Neodiprion lecontei: one gene and its partners. The protein of the gene in region 4 purifies or fractionates together with the protein of the main gene of each other region. This does not show direct contact. Links are inferred from orthologs where the notes say so. Each region holds a gene or a part of one and is shown on either strand. Other genes may lie near its edges.

Evidence for each region.
Region 1: the proteins of E3 ubiquitin-protein ligase AMFR (region 4) and derlin-1 purify together in Homo sapiens (affinity purification with western blotting; 4 studies listed by BioGRID, with this or other methods). This does not show direct contact. The link is inferred for Neodiprion lecontei from reciprocal best matches to the Homo sapiens genes AMFR and DERL1.
Region 2: the proteins of E3 ubiquitin-protein ligase AMFR (region 4) and E3 ubiquitin-protein ligase RNF185 purify together in Homo sapiens (affinity purification with mass spectrometry; 3 studies listed by BioGRID and IntAct, with this or other methods). This does not show direct contact. The link is inferred for Neodiprion lecontei from reciprocal best matches to the Homo sapiens genes AMFR and RNF185.
Region 3: the proteins of E3 ubiquitin-protein ligase AMFR (region 4) and derlin-2 purify together in Homo sapiens (affinity purification with western blotting; 4 studies listed by BioGRID and IntAct, with this or other methods). This does not show direct contact. The link is inferred for Neodiprion lecontei from reciprocal best matches to the Homo sapiens genes AMFR and DERL2.

What each region holds. Positions count from the first base shown.
Region 1 is NC_060262.1:20,812,253-20,818,988, forward strand, and holds derlin-1, read right to left. Parts: upstream 5,096-6,736; 5' UTR 4,937-5,095; coding exon 4,498-4,936; intron 3,710-4,497; coding exon 3,402-3,709; 3' UTR 852-3,401; coding exon of another isoform or gene 580-851; 3' UTR 532-579; downstream 1-531. Other genes in the region: probable tRNA N6-adenosine threonylcarbamoyltransferase, read left to right, coding at 321-499, 580-851. UniProt on the Homo sapiens protein: Functional component of endoplasmic reticulum-associated degradation (ERAD) for misfolded lumenal proteins. Forms homotetramers which encircle a large channel traversing the endoplasmic reticulum (ER) membrane.
Region 2 is NC_060262.1:22,953,079-22,957,953, reverse strand, and holds the start of E3 ubiquitin-protein ligase RNF185, read right to left. Parts: upstream 3,008-4,875; 5' UTR 2,927-3,007; coding exon 2,915-2,926; exon of another isoform or gene 2,526-2,914; intron 57-2,525; coding exon 1-56. UniProt on the Homo sapiens protein: E3 ubiquitin-protein ligase that regulates selective mitochondrial autophagy by mediating 'Lys-63'-linked polyubiquitination of BNIP1.
Region 3 is NC_060263.1:3,016,670-3,022,071, forward strand, and holds derlin-2, read right to left. Parts: upstream 3,758-5,402; 5' UTR 3,601-3,757; coding exon 3,508-3,600; intron 3,326-3,507; coding exon 3,260-3,325; intron 3,169-3,259; coding exon 3,001-3,168; intron 2,907-3,000; coding exon 2,784-2,906; intron 2,695-2,783; coding exon 2,531-2,694; intron 2,442-2,530; coding exon 2,339-2,441; 3' UTR 2,281-2,338; intron 1,015-2,280; exon of another isoform or gene 873-1,014; coding exon of another isoform or gene 823-872; intron 688-822; downstream 1-687. Other genes in the region: protein phosphatase PTC7 homolog, read left to right, coding at 1-115, 431-687, 823-872; cytoplasmic phosphatidylinositol transfer protein 1, read left to right, coding at 3,917-3,960, 4,123-4,174, 4,486-4,634, 4,742-4,863, 5,012-5,019, 5,090-5,161, 5,242-5,340.
Region 4 is NC_060260.1:39,792,692-39,797,359, reverse strand, and holds the start of E3 ubiquitin-protein ligase AMFR, read left to right. Parts: upstream 1-1,665; 5' UTR 1,666-1,878; exon of another isoform or gene 1,879-1,999; intron 2,000-2,847; exon of another isoform or gene 2,848-2,978; intron 2,979-3,094; exon of another isoform or gene 3,095-3,160; intron 3,161-3,366; 5' UTR 3,367-3,886; coding exon 3,887-4,153; intron 4,154-4,668. UniProt on the Homo sapiens protein: E3 ubiquitin-protein ligase that mediates the polyubiquitination of lysine and cysteine residues on target proteins, such as CD3D, CYP3A4, CFTR, INSIG1, SOAT2/ACAT2 and APOB for proteasomal degradation.

The DNA of each region.
Region 1 (6,736 bases), on a different chromosome or scaffold from region 4:
TTACATTTTTTGATTAAATTCTTCGACATTCATACACTGGAAGGTCCAACGGGTTTGCAACCAAAAAATTCACTTGCCAACACTTTTGCAAATTTGGTTAGTCAATTTTTTTATAAGCTTCAATGACAAAAGTCCGTATTTCCAAAAAACTATGTACATGAGCATATGCGGAATTTATGTTTCAAATTTGCGTATGCATTTTTTTCTCTACGAGTACTATGCATGCCTAGTAACTCAAGATTGAGAATTTCTGACACATCTCTGCTAATTATGACACTTTTCTTCATTCATTTAATGAATGCCATTTTCTATTTCAACAGAGGTCAAAAACTGGCGCCACTGCCATATACAGTCAAAGGAATGGACGTGTCATTTTCTGGTATCTTGAGTCACATTGAAGAACGACTACCCAAATGGTTGAAGAATGGCGAATATACAAACGCAGATCTATGCTTTTCTTTACAAGAAACTTTATTTGCAATGTTGATAGAAATAACAGGTAATTAAATAAGCTGACAAGAAAAAAATGCATTAACTTTTTAACTTGACATCAAACCGTTTATTTTGTTTATCTAACAGAACGAGCTATGGCACACACAGGATCGCACGAAGTTCTTATAGTTGGTGGTGTCGGTTGTAATTTAAGACTGCAGAAAATGATGGCTGAGATGTGTGAGGAAAGAAACGCTACCCTTTATGCAACTGACGAACGATTTTGTATTGACAATGGAGTGATGATAGCTGTTGCCGGTTTATCACAATTCAACACGAGTGGTCCCACACCCTGGCATCAAACCACCTGCGTTCAACGATACAGAACAGATGCTGTGCATGTAGCTTGGCGAATTTGAGTCTTGAGGCGTAAGAACGAAATATTACATAATTGGATGTGTGGTAGGGGCGTGGCCTACATCTCGCTGTCAGGTGGAGAAAATTAAAATTGATGCCAGTAGGGTCAGTGAGAGGCTCTATTGGCTGGTTCTATCAGAATGACCTCACTGTTGATGGTTCAAGCGCTGTCCGCAGTTTGGCGTAGCAGACTATCACAGATGCCAATGTTATGAACTTTTCAATTTAGTAGCCATAAAGTACGCCAGTATGGTTGCATTTTGCTGCCATAAAATTGAACCTTATACAGAGACGTGTTCAATTGAGCACAAGTTCAACTGTAGGGTCGGAAAACGCGACCATAATGGCGTATCTTACGGCTTTTACATAAAAAAAATAATGTTCACACCAAAGCCATACAACTTTCTGGCTTTGGTTCAAAAACTACTATTGCATGAGAATTTCAAGAATAAAATGAGCAACTTATATGTATAGTATATACAGGGTGAGTTTTCTCCGGGGTCTGATCTGGGAGGAGCTTGGATGTGCTGAGAGTCCGACTTCTATTCATACTCGTCCGCTTCAAAATAATAGTGTGTGATTATAGAGCAGATACGCTTATCTCTAAATCTGTTTACGTCCACACGTATAGCACACATCCGAAATACAATCTACTCACATGAGGGATTGTTTTGATAGCGGGATACAAGCATTGACACAGGACGAGTATGAATAGAAGAAGGCGGACTCTCACATATCCAAGCTCCTCCTAGATCAGACCCCGGAGAAAACTCACCCTGTATATAACGCAAGTAAGTTTGCTTTGATAAACAATTGGATCAATACCTGTACATTTGTATATAATGTGTGACAAACATACATAGATATCCACGTTTATTCACGAATTCTGTACCTAATATATTATATTTATAATAAAATATACATTTATGTACATGATACAGCAAAAACTTCATAGCGGTGACAAGACAGATAAATATCAAATTTCCAGACTTCCTGCCGTATTTTTTATGCTTTCTGTACACAGGCCAGCATTCAGTTTTGTTTGATTGCCATTATCTTATTAAATAATAGTCTACAATACTGTACTGACATGTGGTACAGAATTATTTGTTAAATTTGTCAAAAACAAGTTGAATATTGAAGGTGAAGACTTTTGAAAAAGACATCTTACGTTTGGAGTACCATAATTCCCTGTCTTCCTCATCTGTCACCAGCCTGAATATTATTACTGACACTTAATGTTCATATGATATTGGTACACATAAATACGTGTAAGTGATATATCGTTTAAAATCATTGTGTATTTTTCTAGATTCATTCAAACTGTCCAATATAAGTAGGTATTTACCAGGAAGTGAACGAGACAAGTTTTCCGAGATCCGTTCCAAATTGCTACCTTCTTTGATGTTAATATAAAGCAATACGCATATTTTCTAAATCAGATTGATTCATTAAATCGAAAGTTTGTTTTAACAATTGAAAATGCAATGACAAGATTGCATTTAATTTTTCACAATTGACAAGCAGCGATTAACAAAATCTCAATGCTAAGCTTCATTTTAGTAATCATTCGACAAACATAAATACTAATTATACTGATCCGTGTATAACTTCTTACTTAATTATGCAGAGCCCCCCCACCCCCACTCACTCACAATAAGTAGCCAGCGGTTACCCTGACCCTGTTATTTGAGCATTATTGTATTTATTAAATGTGCTTTACCATCAGAGTGAAGAAAGGAACTATCTTTTGTTGGAAGTACTGTAGTGCAGAATTCTCTAGTTCCAGAAACTTACTTTGCAAGCACTCGAGCAAAAACTGGTAGGTATATTATTAAATTTGATATAATTAATTTTATCAACATATAACAGGTCAACATTGAGATATTCCCATAAATCTTAATTATCTTCAAATAACAAATTGTACCACCATTTACCATGGAAAACTAATCAGGCAACTTCGAAATAATGTTTTCATACTGCATTAAATTAACTCTATCATTTTTAAAGTTGAGAAAGTAGAAAAAAAACTATCTATCTTCAGAAATATATATCGTATACACGAATATATACATGCATATGTGTATGTATATAGGGTGATCTAGAAATATTGCCCCATAAGCTACCGTTGTATTCTTCATGAAAATTTGCGACTATAATGATATTTCTCATAGTAAATTTGTTATTTGTAAATTACTGTTTGAAATTGGCCAATTCGATAGCACTTGATGGCTCAGGGCAGCTGCTGAGTGCACAACAAATAAATGGGGTTTCGCCAGCCCTAGCAATCCTATTCTGAGCCATTAAATGCTACTGGATTGGCTAATGTGAAGTGGTTGTAATTTATAAAGAATAAATTTTCTATAAAAAAGTAAAAAATTTTTTAACCTCAGATTTTCACAAGGAACACATGGGTAGCCTATGGGGCGATAGTCCGGTGTCATCCTGTACATAGTATGTTTCATTTACTCCCAGTTTCTTGGTATACTTGTACACTCACTCTTCATAAAATATACAGATGTAAACTTGGTTTAATTAGGTATACACCTTGATTACTGGCCGAGAGGCTGGCCACGTCCCCATTGATAACCACCATACATATTTCTGCCCGGTCTCTGTGGTTCCCTTTGTGAAGGAGCGGTTCCAAACCCTCTGAGTCTTGAAGGAGGGAAATAAGCCTCGAGAAATTGAGGTGTGGCCAATAAATCTGGACCTCCGAATTCTTGAGGGTATTTAAACTTCAGGAAGAAGTACAAATGTCCCACTAGAATACCAACCAGTTCCAACATTCCACCGCCAGATATCACAAGATTGAAAGCAAAGAGAACCCATGGCAGATACATTGCTTTAAACTGCGTCCCTGTAATGACAATATCACATTGTTTTCTGTGTTTCTTGTTTTTTTATTTAAACTCCACATTAAAATAAGTAAATCGGGACAGTAGGTGAATAACACAAGATAATAGGTCATACATTTCTGTGACAAAACACGGCAGAAATCCTGCTCGATATTGTAGTATGAATAAATAGTGAATGTAGCTTTTATTTACAAGTATGCTATCTGATAAAGAAAAGAGTGAAAATTTTATTATCACTTTGATAGATACTACAAGTTTTTGCTTAAGATTTTTGCTTGTTTCATGCTTTGATAATGAAATTATTTATAAAATAAAAAAAATTCATTTGAATCGCCCAATTGTCCAATCTTTACTACGACAAAACTGTTTTTTTTTTTATGCAGCATATTTCGAAAATCAAACAAATAGGGTTTTAGAATTCCCAATGCAATCAATTGTTTTAAGAATGATGAAAATCAAAAAAATCAATAGACTATTGACCCATTACGCTAACTTTTACACCTGTGGACTTTCAAAATATGGGAACAATTCAAATTGGGTTTTGGATATTTGGATATTTTTTTTTAGGCATTTTGTAAACCATTCAACCAACTGCAGTAGCTAAATATTTTGCCATTACGTTTGTTACATTAACACAGCAAACTAGAATATCATTATTCTACAGGGAATGTGTTGGGTAACTTATGGAATAAATTGGTGTACGATTACAGCTAACCTTGCCGATCAATATTAAGTAAAACAAGTTTGAAAATAAGGAGCGACATTAAGTCTTATGCATCTATTTTCTTACCAAACCAAAAATTGACAATAGTGTCTCGGTTGAGATGACACCATATGTAGAGTACACTGAGTACCATAGGGTCCATGAGAAGTGGGAATTCTCCAAAGAGTCCAGCGATGACACAGCAAACCCAGTTAAACAGAAGCATGTAGAAATAATCAGCTGGTCGTCCATCATACTCGCCACGTTCGAGCCTTACAGAATAGTTGTAGATGAAATAACAGTTGATCATAAAGTGAAACCCAGTTGTTGGTCCAAGGGGATAATAAAATACGCTGGTAACGGCTCTCCATATCTCGAATTTGTGAACGAATGGAATGTAGAATAAAACGAGTCGTTCCGGACTGAAAATACCGAATCTTCCCAAAAGAGAGCATCCCACGGATAAAAGAAGCCACCATCTAGTAAATAATGGCTGGGCATTGAACCACTCTCTCAGTTCTGACATTTTTGCACCGTATTATCTATTCAACCACTTTTTGATGTACGGCACAAATCCAAAAACCGCGACGATTGTGTATTAAACCGTCAGATGACAAAATCCACCACTTCGCTGCCGACAACGATTACTCCGAAATTGCAGCATTGGCTAATGCATAAGACACGGTTGATCTAAACTATACCAAGAGAAGAAACCTACTTGTTTTCCATGCCTTAAGTGATGATGAAAGAAATGGTGCGTTCCGAAATTAGCTCCCAGTGCTGCCAACAACCATTTATCTCCTTTGCGCTTCCAAGTTCGTGAGTAGCTCTGCTTCTAAAGCATGTACTGCCGTTTTCCACTTATAGCGTTTTCCACTGGTTGCACTGAGTGTGAACTGAGAGCGTACTACCGGTAGATTTGTATTTCCAGCGTGTTCCACTGGCAGCTCGGGTGCGTGAATTTAGCACTGAGTGCGTAAAATATTGCCCTGAAATCGGGAGTCGGTGTCAAAGCAGTGCAATTATGGCTGCCGATCGTGAAAGAGTCTAAGTAGATGCTGTGACAGCAACTCTTTTATTAGATCTAATTTCATCTTCGTCTAGCAGTGATGATGGACTTGCTGGAGCCGAAAGATAGAGGAGAGATTCCCAAAATTTTAAGTTTCATAGGAGTAATCCACAGCATGTCCGATATCGAAGTATGGAAACACATTTTTTCAGCTTTTAGAGGTTAACTGCTAGGTATATTTCAGGAGATTGGGACAACTTGACTTGCTACTTATTAATTTTTATCTTTTCAGTGGAATTGTCCATTTTTTTTGCCCTTGTATGCTCGTGCCTAACATTTATGACATTTATTTACAAACAAAAAATTACCGTTGCGTTTGTTCAATTGGTTTCTTTATCACTTGCTTGAAAAAACTGATAGTCGCGCAGTCGGTCGAGTAACGTCACATTATTTGTGATTTAGGAGAAATTATGATCTAGTCTGCCTTTATACGTTTTACGGCGTTCCACTCAGAAGGTTTGCCCCGATGCCGGGCGACGCATGCACGGAACGAGTGCCCCCTGTTCGAACCAGTGCGCACTCAGTGCAACCAGTGGAAAACGCTAATAGAGATCAGTAGAGTCGGCCAATCGGATCCTGCGAGACAAAGAAAGGATGTAGCATTACTACTTCTCTCTCTATATCGTTTTCCGCTCATACGGAAGAGTGTACCAGGGCTTCCTTCATGTCTATAGGTATTTCTAGGGCCAAGGTAGAGCCAGTGAAAAACGCTGTAGGTATGCATCTTAAAAATATAATTAAAATTTTTATGATAATGATGATGATGACGGTATTTGTATATTGGCACAATGCCGTAAGGGACATAGCCAACAGCAAAAAAGAAGGAAGAAAAATAAGAATATTTAAAAACGTTATCTGACGTTGTGGCTGAATATCGAGCTAGATATTTTTTGAAACAAGTTACTGTGTGTACAATGGCGTCTGTCATATGAGTTTGAAGCCGCGCTTGAAGCCGCGGGTCGATCAAGAAAGAGGCAGTGTGAGTGGTGCGTGGGGCGTGACCGTTCGGCTGATACATTAACCGGATTAAAAATGACGCTATGTATTAAAATCGGACTGTCGAAAATCTGAAAAGATGAGATAGACTCCGGTTCATAGGGAGAATAAAAAGAATCAAATTTGAAACCATAAATCGGAGGTGAAAATGACACTCTACGAATCTGAGAACACTAAATTACTTTGCGGCGCTATACTCTAAAATTACCTTAAACGCTGATTAATCTACAGTCGGGCTCTATCTTAGAATCCAGTTGAATT
Region 2 (4,875 bases), on a different chromosome or scaffold from region 4:
CCCGAAGGCTTCGACGGCCCGGGCTGTTCTTTCGCGGTGCTCATCTCAGCTAGCTCCTTTTCGAAAAAGCGAACAACGAATTATATTAGTAAACTGCTTTACAAAGAAATCTAAAAACATACTTTGGCATAAACTCTGCCTTTACTTGTTTCATTGAATAGCATCAACTGTTTTTTTGTGAAGTTAATATATTGAACAACAAAATTAATTCAAATTTTCACCATCACTTAGTAATATGACAGTAATTTTCAAATAAAAGTATTTGCAATTAATAACAAATTCTATTCAAAAGTAAAAGACATCTGGTGAGAAACGAAGAACATAAAATTCGATGATAATATCAAACAATAATATTGTTCAATTTTATTCCGTCAATCGCATGTATATCATGTTACACTGTGCAGTTTGACATGACTGCTGGAGCGGCATATAGGCCAGAATGATATTTATCGTTAAAAATATGGAAACGGTAAGGTTCACGGCATCTAGCACATTGAATTTACAAAGTATAAATAATTGAGTATGCGATGTTCTATCACGATTTCCTGAATTCGGAAAATTCTAAAGCCTGAAATATGATGAGTTTTTCAAAAAATACATTGTTACACCGATATTAACTTTCACCTCATCAACTGCACTGCAAGCTGATTGAAATTGGCGTTCAAAATACAAATTCATCATGAGACTGCAGTTTTAACCGTGTGGGCAACTACGTGACAATGTTGCATCCTGACCATTTTACAACCATTTCATAGCATACAGGTATAGCATTGAGTTTCCGTAGGATTTCACACCATTTGACAGTATTTCATATATTTCACGACCATTTTACAATATTTCACGAATATTTCATGGTAGCTCTTAGCCACACTATAGTATTTCATGGTACTTTATACTGTTTTATCATGATATGCCTTTGACGTCAAATAAATTTTTTTGGTATGATGTCAATTTCAATGCAAACCACAATTATTAATATAAATCTTTTTCGGAAATTGCAAACGAAATGTTGTGGTTATTCAATCAAAAATGTATTATGTTAACTTTTCCAGAATAAATTATAACAAAAGTATTCCAGACTTTTCCATACCTAAGAAGCAATATTTATGTCCCAAAATAATTCCAGGATTTAGGTAGGTAAATTTAAGAGGCAGAAGATACCCTGAGAATTATAATTGCTTTTTTACTGTTCATCACCTCTAATGATATAAGAGAAATATTGGTTTTGATCGAGAACAACCTATCTTAATTTCAATGAATCTATGTTTTCAGACCTCTAGTGTCCAAAAAATACATTTTTTAAGAAATTCCGGTCTTTCTGTTTGTCCTGACAAACGTCCGCGATGATCTTGAAAAGAGATCGATTGAAAAGTTTGAAATTTAAACAATTTCACATTCAAATGATGTGCATTGCAAATGATTTTAACGTATTTACTAAACGCTTTATACAATGACTTGGATTTTAAGTAAGAAATTATTTTTCAAAGAAAATCTTAATAATTCCCAAGCTTTTACCGCTTTTTCTGATATTCCCATGTATTTAACATTTTGAGATATGTACACAAAGCGAGGTGAGTTTTGATCTGTTCAAGGCCACCAATGTTGTCTGCCACCAACTATTTAACATAAATAGCAGACGACACTGGCAGCCTTGAATTGGTCAGAATCCACCTCGATTTGTGTGCATCATGTACTTCGTTGAAGAACTTTGAAATTTTATAGTCTATCTTTCCAAATATTTGATAAATAATTTATTTACCATCTTGGGTAGAACTGATGATAAATAATAATTTGCAAATATGTGTATAAAAAACAATGTTGACAATATACTTATTGCAAATGTCAAATGACCTGTAAGAAAAATATCGGTATTATCATAAATTTATCGACTATAACTATCAATTTTGATCAGTTGTACATACAATGAGATTATTTTTAAACTTGGTATAAGTTGGTAATGTCATTGTGATAAAAAGAGCTTGCAGTTACATGCATGCACTTTCAGAATAAACTTGTACTATCAAAACTAAATTCAAGGCAGCAATCGTAATAATTTGTGCAACTAGACTGCTATTCTTTTTAATTTTGGTTTGCCTTGATAAAAAAGCCTTACTTTATTACTATGACTATGTTTCTTATTCAATCTGATATTCTTTACTAAAATAGATAAGGATCAGCAGTTATTCAATCTACAACGGTGCTCTAAATTATCTCTTGATTTGGTAAATATTATAGGTGACGAATGGATGTTACATATTTATGCATCAAAATAATGATTAGAAAAGTGGTTTCAAAGGTGGGAATGTTACACCACTGCAATGATTACTGAGTGAGTGTAGAGTTAATTATATTTACAGTATAATAGCTAAAATGAAAGAGAAGAGACTCTACATATGACAGATATTACAATGAATTCGCAACGTTGGGATTAGGAAAACGTCGAAATCTGATAAGATTTACTGAAAACGAGTAGGTGATGATCTTGAAAATAAGACTGACAGAATTTAATTAAATCTATAAATTACCCATATGAAAAGCGACGAAAAATTATCTATCAGCAGAGGTTATGTTTTAGCGAATTAGATTTAGTAAATAATAAATGATTCGAAGAGTTAAAAATTACGACAAGTAGTAACCTTACGGACTGTGAATGGAAATCCAACTGTTTGAAAACACTGATATTGACACCGCAGACACTTCAAAGTTCTTGGCAGACTGCCTGATACGAACTCTTGAATTGCGCAAGTTCTGTAATCTGGCAGATAATTTTCGTTATTTAATGAGAAACGGATGTTCGGAATAACACGTAAACGATGTGCTTGATCGTCAAATCCTGTAAACACTGGTTAGACCGGTCCTAATTTATTCGGTAATGGTGATGACACATAATTGCATGTTGAATATTAACACGTACGCATTTTGACATTTCGAAAAGTGAATTTCACTGTAAGTGATCGATCCAATTAGCAGTAGGTTTTTTGACTAGCACAGTAAAGTACCGAGCATGGAGTAGAAGGAGAAGAAACTAGAATGAAAGTTGATCCCTAGTATAGGTGGCATCGCGGTCTTGTATCAGGTCTAAAAACAAAACCTCATTTCAATGTCGCCGTGTGACTCCGTTACGAGCGAAGCGATCTAATCTAGGGACCTTGTTACGAGCATCTCTATTCTCCTCGTTCGCCCCCAGATGCCTCGCTGCGGTCTAGTAGTATCTCCATTCTCCGACTCTAGTGTCTTCCTAGTTGTTTTATGATGACAAAATAACCACCAGAATTGATGAGCAATCAGAGCATTCTTGCTGCGGTTGCATTCAGCTGTTTGCTGCACGTGAAAAATCAGCCTTAAGGCCGAAGCACACAAAACCAGAAGCCATAAGCAGAATGCAGAAAGTTATTGCGCATGCGCTATGGGTTCTGTAAAAGCCAATTGTGAAATTCAGATTCGATTCATACTGCGCGTAATAAAAGCTCAAGGCCAGAGGTGTAATGTGGCAAAGCATTAACATGCGCTTCTTTGTCGTTGTCGAGAAAATCCACACTGAAATATTCCATCACGTTCAAATACTTTACTACGATAATCATAATTCAATGGTCGCGAGGCGCAGTGGTAAGCTCTCTGGCCCGTCATCCGGTGGTCGCGGGATCGTATCTCGCTATTCGCAACTTTTTTTTTTTTTTTCATTTAATTTTCTTTGTAATCCAATTGTGTGTATATACATAATCCCCGGCAATCAGTTTCAATAATTATGCATATAATAATTTTTTTAAATGCCGTTTGTCGCGGAAAAACCGACGACTTCGAACATCATTATGTTGTTCCCAAACAAAGTTATATTTCAAAAATGTTATCAATTGTTTTCATAATGTTTACCAAGTATAGTTAACGGAAGAAGTATGAACGATGTTCCAAAACGAATACGTGTAGTGGGAATCAAACGCTTAAAACATAACAGTGACTCCTCGAACAAACATTTGCTTCCTGAAATAGAATATAATATGGATTCGTGTTGTTTCATGCAAATAACACTAGAATGTTTGTTCGAGGAGTCACTGTTATGTTTCGAGCGTTAAATCTATTGACTGAGAACCAAAGTGAAAAAAAATCAAACAATTGATCAAAAATCGTATAAAAATTATTCAGTTCGCTATATGATTTTTGATTTATTATATCTGACGATTCGTGCTTTTGTAATTTATTATGAGATTTTTATTTATTTTAACAAATTTACAAAATAAATCATGTATCAAATTACACGTGAATTTCAGTCATTATGTTTTATAATTTAATACTTGACCATTTTCAGTAGGGAAAACGTTTTTTGAATAATCGTTGACTAAAGCTAGTATGTAACGTGCTTCGTTCCAGGAAGGTGTTTCAATTAGTCTGCAAATAGCAATATGCAACAGTTTTAATTTTTCCTTGGCTGATGTCCCTGATAATTTCAATTACTTGCTCGTCGTCTAGTTTTTTTCTGACTCTTGTGCTTGATCCTTTGTGTACTTAGCAATTCATCGGTATTTGAATTTGCACCGCTTTTTTTTTTTATCTCTTTGGCACTGCCGAGTTCGTGAATACCTCTACTTCTGTCCAAGAAAGATTTTATGGCGAATAACTTCTGATATTTGACCGTGCAGCTATCCCTGAAAATATTACAATGAAATGTGGACTGTCCCCCATCCATAATACATACATCAATTAAGGGGGTATTCTAGTCTAAAGGTCTAGTTTTCGGGCATTTTATTGGGCTTGGTGTAAAAAAGAATGAAAATTATTTTAGCACCCATTTTTTTCACGCTCTTTTTATTGGTGATTGAAGAACTTACAGTTGAGTGTTTGTGAAAAAAAAAATTCAAAAAGTTATGGGCCTCTAAATAG
Region 3 (5,402 bases), on a different chromosome or scaffold from region 4:
TTGTCAGGAGAGGAGAAGTAGTGCATCGTTCATCGGAACAGCAGCACTACTTCAACACTCCGTTTCAATTGTCGTCACCACCTCCTGGCCACAGTGGGTTGGTACTTAGCGACAGGTGAGAGACAATTAATTTTTACTTGCAGTAACAACTAATTAGTTTTTCATTAATTGCCATTTCGAATCCCAAATACAGTTGACATAATAATTACACTTTGAATAATTATAAATAGGGTGCATTTATTCTCTATTATATGTTTATTCTTTTTTTTTTTCTTTCTCTTTTTAACAAACTTCACGTTATTTACAATTGGATTATAATTTTGGGATCTAAACTTTGAATACAAACAATTATATGCGTGTATGATATGCCGATTCCCTGCTAGAAGTTTGAACCCGACAATATTTTACAAGTTTAGTAATATTTTTATAGGCCCGAAGCTGCGGACACTTCCAGCTTTGGCGTGGAAGATGGGGATGTTATTCTTTTAGCAACTGACGGAGTTTTCGACAATGTACCTGACCAGTTGTTAGTCACCGAGATGCGCAAAGTCCAAGGAGAGCGTGATCCTACGAAATTGCAGGGTGTTGCCAATTCAATAGCCTGGATGGCCCGCAGTCTTGCGTTCGACGGGGCTTTTATGTCACCATTTGCCCAAAATGCTAGAGAAAATGGAATAGATGCTATAGGTTAGTACTGGGCATGAAATGCAGCCACCGCTTACTCTTGAACCAATTTCAACACGTACTTTGGTCTTGCGAAATTTTCATGCAATATTTTCACTTCAGAGAACATGAACAACAAAATATCATTGTTTGTTACAGGTGGTAAACCAGATGATATCACGGTGCTTCTAGCAACAGTGGCGATATAACTAAAAAATGTGTATAATAGAGCCCCGATCATTGTATTATAGTCCATGTCATTGCATATATGTATTAAGTTGCACATCATTCTATCCCAATATTATAACCCATTACTATTTAAATCTAAATAAATGATTTTTCAAATCATGATTCACTCTGATGAATTCATTTCAGACACATGGCTAACGTTTACTCTACAATGAACGTTCTACCAACGTAAATGAATAGTGGACAAAAGCGTTATTTAAATAGCTCATTCCGAAAGTCTGACAAATTGTTGAATTATTTCAAGTATTCAAGGAATAGCACTCTTGAAAACATGATAATAGACTTCGGTTAACTGTACATTCGAAAACGTTTGACGGCAAAAACAATATGTTTAGAGGTATCAATAAATTAAACGCTTACGATAATACTTAAATATTTTGAAAAGGTACTATTGATTGTACGAATATTAAAGCTGATCTTTGGGAAATGGTTTTAAGAATGTGAGAATTGGATGTATAATTTTCTGCACCGTATGTTTGATTTTAAGAAATCATAGTCATGGACCGTTGTTATTAATAAAATATACTGCTTACATTTGTAGCTGAGCCCCAATGGTTAATCGGAAAGATTCTACTTCTAGTTAGACATTATGCGCACGAGTTCACAACTATCATTATTAAAAGCCTTAGAAATGTTCTGACATTATCCGATGCAGAAACTTCTGAGTTCATTTCACCTGGAGAATTTTAATTGATACTTTATTTTTATAGCTAAATCACAGATAGTAAGACATTTTACACAAATATAAATATATTATGACGAAACTTACATAGACAATTGAGATGCAAACCAACGCTTGCCATGTTTTTAAACAGGTTTTTCAAACGACCATTCAAGTTTACTACCAACATCTAATTATATAATTTGAGAATTGCATGTATGATAAATTGCGAAAACTTGTTTTCTAATGCCTTTAATGTCATCTCACTATGGTAGCAGAGCATCGTTCGATCATTCAATCATACCTTTTACCATAACAACCTATGTTACTTGTACGTAAAATTAACTTGATAATTGGAATATAAGATTTTCCTTCCGATTGATCTAGTGATTCTAGAAGAGTGACGGCAGGAACTCATTCAAGTAGTTTTCTGTTATTACTCAATTTTTGAATAGCTTTAGAAAATGTCAATGCTGAATGAGATATTGCATAAGCACGGGTTTCTTGGTTTAAAAATTGTAAATATTCAGCAAAACCCCTCAAATCATTAAAGTTTGATGCATGCATAACAATTGCAACTGTTTCGAGTGGATATGCCATAGATACCCAGCACTTAAACTACAATTAAATATCTTCAAAAAATATGCAGCATTATGTCAAATTAAAGTAACTGTTATATACGACAAAAAAATAACTGAAGGATTTACTTGAAACGCTCGGGTGATGATAATAATGTGGTGTTAATTCGGCGAATTTGTCTGCGAATCATTGCACGTTAGCACCTTGACCCCAGTTAAAACCGCCCGGCCTATCCTCAGGTAACGGTGTGTAATTTGGATCCTCCGTATGTGCATCGAACAGAGTTTTTCTGAACACAGAAATTTATTATAAGAAGTATGACCTAACCTTTGGTGAGAGCCTTAATTTGAAGACAGTAGATAAATCTGAATAACTCACAATATCTGCGGGGTCTTGAGTATGCGAAAACCACCATTTTGTCGTGGAAATACATCTTCAGCAAAGTAGTACATGTGTCCTACTGCCATTCCGATCAAATCAACCCAAATTGCATTGCCTAATAGAACGGAGAATCCTAAGAGCACCCAAGGCAAGTATGGCGCCTATGTAGAACGGAAAAAATTACAATGCGTCTGTTACATCAAAATCGATATTCCTTCTATTTTTCCAATTTAATTATCTGCAAGCGTACTTGAAAGTTGAGGAGTCCAAAAAAGTTCATTCTGACAAAAGGATTCCGTCTTGACCATATATACACCAACATGATGGTGAGTGCTTGGCCAAGGAACAATAAATTAACGAAAAATGCGAATATCTGTAAGAATTTGAGGAATAATACTCAACTAGAGCAATGCGGATGATACAATAATAAAATAAAACGGAGACGAAAAGTTCATAGACAAGGATACAATCATGCAGATGCCACCAAATATGAACATCATAACAAAGTCGGCGGTTCTACCGCGGAACGAGACTTCTTCCAGCATCCGACAATAGCGATACGTAAATATCATATTGAAGAAGAAATTGAATCCAACCGTCCCGAAGAATAGGAAAGTTGTGATCAGTCGCCATAACTGCAAAGGTATAATTAACAAGAGAGAGATATTAACTCACCGTGGAACGATATTTATATTTTCTAACGTAGAAACTGATTGAGAAAATTACCTGATATTGTTTCAGTATTAAAATCGGATTGAAGTATAATTGGAATGGAGAGACGAGGTCCAATTGCTGTAAGAAAAAGAATAAAAATTTAATTTGACACAAATTTAACCTCGCAGTAATGACGAACGTTTTGTCAATACTGAAAAGTGCAGTAATCACGGGGGTAACATGGAATCTGAATAATATCGAGAATCGAGTGAACTCTGACGGAAAATTTTGTACGAAGATAATAAAATACGTATGTATACCACGGCTAGAGTCGTGATGACACAAGCAGTCGTATACGCTCGTGTCACCACGGGCATTTGCAGGTATTCCTGCCTAAACGTTTGATAAGCCATTTAACGACGGTTATATTTCTACCCTCTGACAGGCTATTCTCTTTCCTATTTTACAGTTGCATGTCGTTCATCCTTTCGCGTTATCATAACGTAATCATTGTCCACATCACAGAAAAACTTGTCAGTCACTTCAATTTGGTACACGTAATATAAATATACACGTATGTACGTACATACATTACGTGTGCAGTGTGTGGCAATGCGAAGTGAGCTGCATATCAGATATCAGCTGTAACGATGTATCGATGCTTTTCAGATGGGGTAAGCGCGGCTTGAAGTAGGCTGCATTTTCGTCCTATTCGCGTTTGTTTATCTTATGGTGTTTCGTCGTCTATGGTTTGTCCCATCAAAGCAGACCACGTATGTTGTACTTGCGGTATACATAGTTTCGAAAATTGTATCTCGCTATAAATTTTCCCAATTTACATTACGATTTTATAACTGAAAAATATTAATTTCACATTGGAGGATTAACTTCTAATCTTGTCAGATTAAATATAACTTATAACTTGTCGTGATTAGAATGGTGTTGACCAAGGAATATCGGATATGCATGCCGTTTACCACGGACGAGGTAATGAGATTATAATTTTAAATTCTTTTTTCAATTATGCACGAATCAATTATGAATAAAATCACTGTTACAACGATTATAGGCAATTCTATATAAACATGTTGATTTGCGTATATTATTATATTTAATTTGGATGAATAATCGCACAATCAATCGAATATATTTATCCAAATATGATGCATCGGCAATCATTCCTTCGCGAGTGAGAATTCAAATATCGGTTCACGTAACAAGGACCTAGTTACAGTATTTGCCAAGTAATGTTGGAGAAAATAAAATTCCAAAATTTCTCTCATCGTTTATCATTTTAGTATCAAATCGGACAATTGTATATGATTGCGCGACACAGTCACGAGCAATCTGATTCCGATGAAGGTGTCGAAGTTATTGAGACGTCGCCGTGCGAACATGCCACTCATGGAACAGGTCAATTTACTGAGAAGAGGATTCATCTTTCAAAGTAATATATTCTTGATCCATGGATAATGAAGCAGTTTTCTATATCGTTTTCAATCTTCCATGCCTTTATGTTATTTCAACCGTTATTGTTCTCCTCCTTCATTTCAGTAAACTACCGTATTGGATCCAATCATTTGTACCGAAGATATTTTACATTACTGAAAAAGCTTGGAACTACTATCCTTTCACAATTACGGGTGAGATGTTTCAACTTTTGTTGGAAATTAAAGGTGATTCAATTCAAATCTGCAACGAATCACTCCCAAGTACCTTAGAACATATAAACCATACCCTATTTGTTTTGGAACACTTTTCCATTCCCTGCAAATAAAATAATATGTAATATTTTGTTACATGGGGCAATGGTGATCTTCACAGTTTACACAGTGAGTATTATGCATTAAATTTCATTAAAATTCCATTATGCATTGTACAACGGGTGTATTTGTATTTCAGTGTTCGTTCATACCCACATTTCACATATCTATCAATACTAGATACGAAAACAACAATGGCTCAAATGAAAACGTGAGTTATTCACTTGTAATATTGAATGATATATATGTCACCGTTTCAATCATTGATTCTAATATCTAGTCAATGGGTAGTGCTTAGATTTAACTCCTGTGGAACTTATTCATCGGGAAGTTGATTATATTGACATCGCATATGATGAAATAGCTGCCAAGCACTACAAAGAGGAGGAGGTATGTTTCCTGCACTTTTAGCGTCTGTCATACGTTATTCGCATTAGACTGAATGCAATTCT
Region 4 (4,668 bases):
TAACCAATGTCGAGTCAAAATTTCGCAGAATTGTAGAGGAAAAAAAAGGCAAAATATACTCCGTACTGAAATCGACTCTTGTTTCTACAGACTGTAGCAACAAGCATAATTATTATCTAAATGGCGTATTTATTGTAGATATACTCAGGTTATAACCCGTTATCGTAAATGGGACATGGCTGTACCACTTTTGATGAATGGACAGTACAACATTTTTTAATAACAGCAATATTGCACGCATAATTATTATTGTTAGTATAATTTTTTCAACAGTCTGAAGATGTGTGAAAAATCTAACGTAGTAGATAAACTTAAAATGATAACAGACGCGAATCTTTTTAGCAATTTATAATATGAATTTTACTCTGGTTCGGTTTCATTGCTTTATTTTTTTTTTTTATTTTTCCTCCACTTTTTAAGATTGTATTTATTTTTATCGTTTGATAATATTATTTACTCATGATATACACGAGCTTCTTTTATTTTCTGAGAAAATTATTCAACATGTTTTCTCATATAGCAATGAACAGACCTGTATATGTAAATAACAGTCTTTCAAGCCAATAAATAAGACTTATTTCAATAACATACTGATAACGACAGCGAAATTGTTACAGTAATTAATTGTTTCCTCCATTGTAATTCCTGCAAAAAAAAGGTATAATTTCAGTATACTTTATTCGGCGCTAGAAATATTTTCGGCAAATATACTCTTTGTTTAGTTCTTACACATTTTCAATCAGTTCGTAAGTTAAATAGTAATGTCGGGTCGATAACTCAAATTCTACCTATCGCTACATGTTTGAAACAGTTTGTCTTCTTGTTCAAAGATGTCTTCGCAAATTGGCTACCTTGTAGAGCTAATGTTGAAACGTCATCGAAAAGTGCCTGACCAGTGCTCGGTAGGTAAGTGAGCCCAGGGCCATAAGAAGCCCTGCCAACGATCCGGTAGCTTCTTTATCGGCGGGAGCCGCTTACCACGCTATCTCATGAGAAAAAAAAATAAAATAAAACTGCAGTAGCGGTCTTGGTTTTTCACGGGTAGCAAAATTCTACCGTAGTATTTTGTTCCCGACTTTTTGATCAATAGGAATGCCAACACATCAGGGAAACGCTACGTAGAGTCTCTATAGAACGAAGTCTAGCGCTACCTGGTGCGCGCTGAATGTAAACTACCTGTTTTCTTAGCATACTTGAAGGAGAAAATTGCAACCGCAGTATTTTGCTGCGCATGAAAATCTAGACTTCAACAATCTTCAGTCAACGGCGTATTTGAGACTTGAATTCCGATATCAAGTAATTGTGTTTTTTTGAATTTTATGTAACCACAACGAATTCCGTGTGATCATCAAACTGAAACAACGTTCACGGATCCTGGAAATTCACTTGAATCACAGAATTTTTCCGTTCGTCTGAATAACGATCTACTGTTTCATTCATATTGCATTTAGTACAATGCATCTTCCCGCCTCAGTCGCTTCGAATAGCGCCGTCTTAGGTTCGACAATAAAAGCGGTAGGTAGCGCTACCTGTACTGAGACGCAGGCGTCCTTCCCGTCGGTAAGTTACCGATCGATCATCGCCCGGCACCCCGCCGCTGCGGTAATCCGAACGATCCGCGCCGAAAGCTGCCTGCCGCCTAGATCACAGCACAGCCTCGGGATTGGTCTGACCGCAAAGTGAAAAAGATGCGTGTGCAGTGTGCACGGGTACCGAGTGTCAGCCGTGGCACGAGAAGCCTGAAGGTTGTCAGTCGCGTAGTCGCGATTCCGCGGCCGAAAATCCATCCCCAGTTGAGATAATAATCCCGGAACGGATTTCACACCGTATCGGTGAAAAATTAGTGCGTGGCGGGTGCAGAGTTCGGAGTTTCGCAACGTAAGGTTACAATTCCGTCGATATTATGTCAGCAGCCTCGGTGCTGCTCGTAGCGAACTGCTGTTAGGATCCAGGAGAGTTAAAATTCGCCGACTGGGTTACGACAGAGGTACGAAAATTGGTGCGGTATCAACGCGGAGAGTGATAAGAAAAAAGAAAAAAAAAAAAAAACAACAAAACTCGCGCTGCTTGACCCCTGATTACGTGCATCGTATAGCTGGCAATTTATTGGTTATGTGTCGCGTAGATTTGCCGTTGAATTCTCTAAATCTCTCCTCGGTATCGAAGAAAAACTCGGCGTTGCAAACGCCGCTTTGCGCGTGTGTGTATGTCCCCCCTCCCTCTCTCACTGTCCCTGCTTTCATGCCTTTCGTCCTTCTCCTTTTTTTTTTTTTTTCCACCCAATAATCACCCGTACGTATCACACAGGCAGGTAATCCTGGGAGGGGCGAATACTTAATTTTCTATATTAATACAAACTCGAATAAATCTTCCCCCCCCCCTCCGCAATTCCTAGATCCGCGATTATATTTATGTCCGAACAGCAGTCGGAGTGAAATGACGGACACATGTAATTTCCGTATCCTATAAATGATCAGTCGATGTAAACTTCGATGTGAAGGAAAGGATTTACCGTTGATTTAGTTTACAACCACAAGTCTCGCATATTATAATATTCATATGTGAATAATGAAATTCGATACCGAGACAAACAAACAAACGAGATATTTCTTTCCCTCCTTCCATCTCTCTCTCTCTTTCTTTCTCTCTTTTTCTGTCGACGACTCGTCTCAAATGCTTTCCCCGGATCGCCCTCCTTTCTTTTTTTTTTTTTTCACTATCCCCCCCCTATTTCCCCCCCCCCCCCCCCCCCCTTCCGCGTTCTCTCGACCTGTCACTTCTCTAGGTATATGCCGGACCTGCGTTTCTGTTCATCGACGCATTGACCGCAGTGCCGAGTGCACGCACCGATATATCACAGTTTGTTTTTGTTCGTCGTCTCTGTCTATTAGTTTTGTTTTATTTACAAACGTCATATAATTTTCGTCGTTGTTTTTTCGGTCCTGATCTCCGCGGTCCGAAATTACATCTCCTTCTCGGTTAAGTAGTCTTAAACCCGGTGTTACATAACCTCACTATTTCGAGTCGCGAAGCCGGTCGTCATTGTTTTTTTTTTCTTTTTTTTTTTTTTTCTCAAATTTTACCGGTATCCTATCAATTGAACCTCGTAGCGCGAGAGCCTGATTCATAAAGTGACAGCAGTGATATGTGAAAGATTCGTGTAAATGTCATAACTTTTACATGTTGTTTTTTCCCCAAATTTTTTTTTTTTTTTTTTTTTCACACCGTTTCGAATATTCAAGAATCGGTGTGAAAAATTGAAAAAAAGAAAACGAACAAATGAGTAGCCCAAAAATCAAAGGAGTTGTAGTAAACTGAGTAGTATACCGTACAGTCAGAGTAATTTTTTGTCGCATTCGATTTCAGGTTTTTAAACTCTACCGGTGATCGTCGGACGTCGAACATACATATTAATAAATTGGGGAGTGAGTGTTGGTGTACCTAAAAATAACTACCCGCATCTATTACGAAGCGCCGCATCGACTTAAATAAACATTAAAAGCAAAGCAAGATCAAGGAGAACGAGACGCAGAGAGCCAAAAATAAAAAAGCAATTCGTCAAGTTTACAATTGTAGTAAAATACCGTGAATAATTGCCGGCGTACTTAAATATTGCGACAACAATCGTGTTTCTTTCAACCAGGTGCACGCAACTCCGTGACGACCGAGAGTAAAAAGTTAACCGAGTAGAAAATATCGAAGAAAAAGAAAAACAAGCGAGAGAGAGAAAGAAAGACGAGGATCGACGAGGTGATCCAGAGAACCAAGAGAAACGCATTTGAGGTGAAACCAGCCTGTAGTGAACGGTGGTGGTGGTTGTGGTGGTTGTCAAGTAGTTGCACTTGACCCAAGTGCGATTAATTAATTGTAAAAATAAAAAGTAAAAATGCCGATGGTTTTTCTCGACCGCTTGCCGGTCCCGAGCTTACGCGCTTACACCTCGATAAGCATCGCGATATTGTCCTGTTCGATTTACTACGCTGCACAAATCGTCAAGGATCCAGGATGGCGGAACAATCATCCGAACTCCTTGGTCGCCGCTGTGGGAAACGCCACCGACAACAATGCATCGGCCATTGTCGATTCCAGGACCCTCGGTGTTCACATGAGGGAACTTTTTGCCTGCATGGTTCAGGAGCCGGGATGCATATGGGTGAGTTTCACTCGACACTTGTTTTTTTTTTTTATATATCACGAAGATTAAGTTAGTAACTCAACTTAAGCTAGCGTGTTTAGGAGAACTCGTTGGAAAATTGGTAGACCTTGGTGAACAAAACATACTCGTATAATTTTGAAAGCAAACTACTTGAACGTTATTCGGATGTTGCGGAGTAATGATTGATACTAACTTCAGTCTTGTCCTTTTTTTGTCATGTTGAAGTTGGGAACGTGTCGTGAAGATTCATGCTGAGAAAAAACCGTTAATTCGTGATTTTGGAACTGTTTGAAACTCAGTAAACCGTTATAACAGAAAACATACTCATATTTCACAATCTTAGTTGCTTAAAAATCATTGTAACAAATAAGAAATTGACGATTTTATCCCCAGTGTTTCGTGAAGATAACGTTCCTAACTTCAACCTCGTTCAAGTATGAGCATGAAGTTTAAGTAGCGTTACTGTAACGATGCTTGTTAATGAAAAATCGCTACTTCGTGTCTTTAAGAAT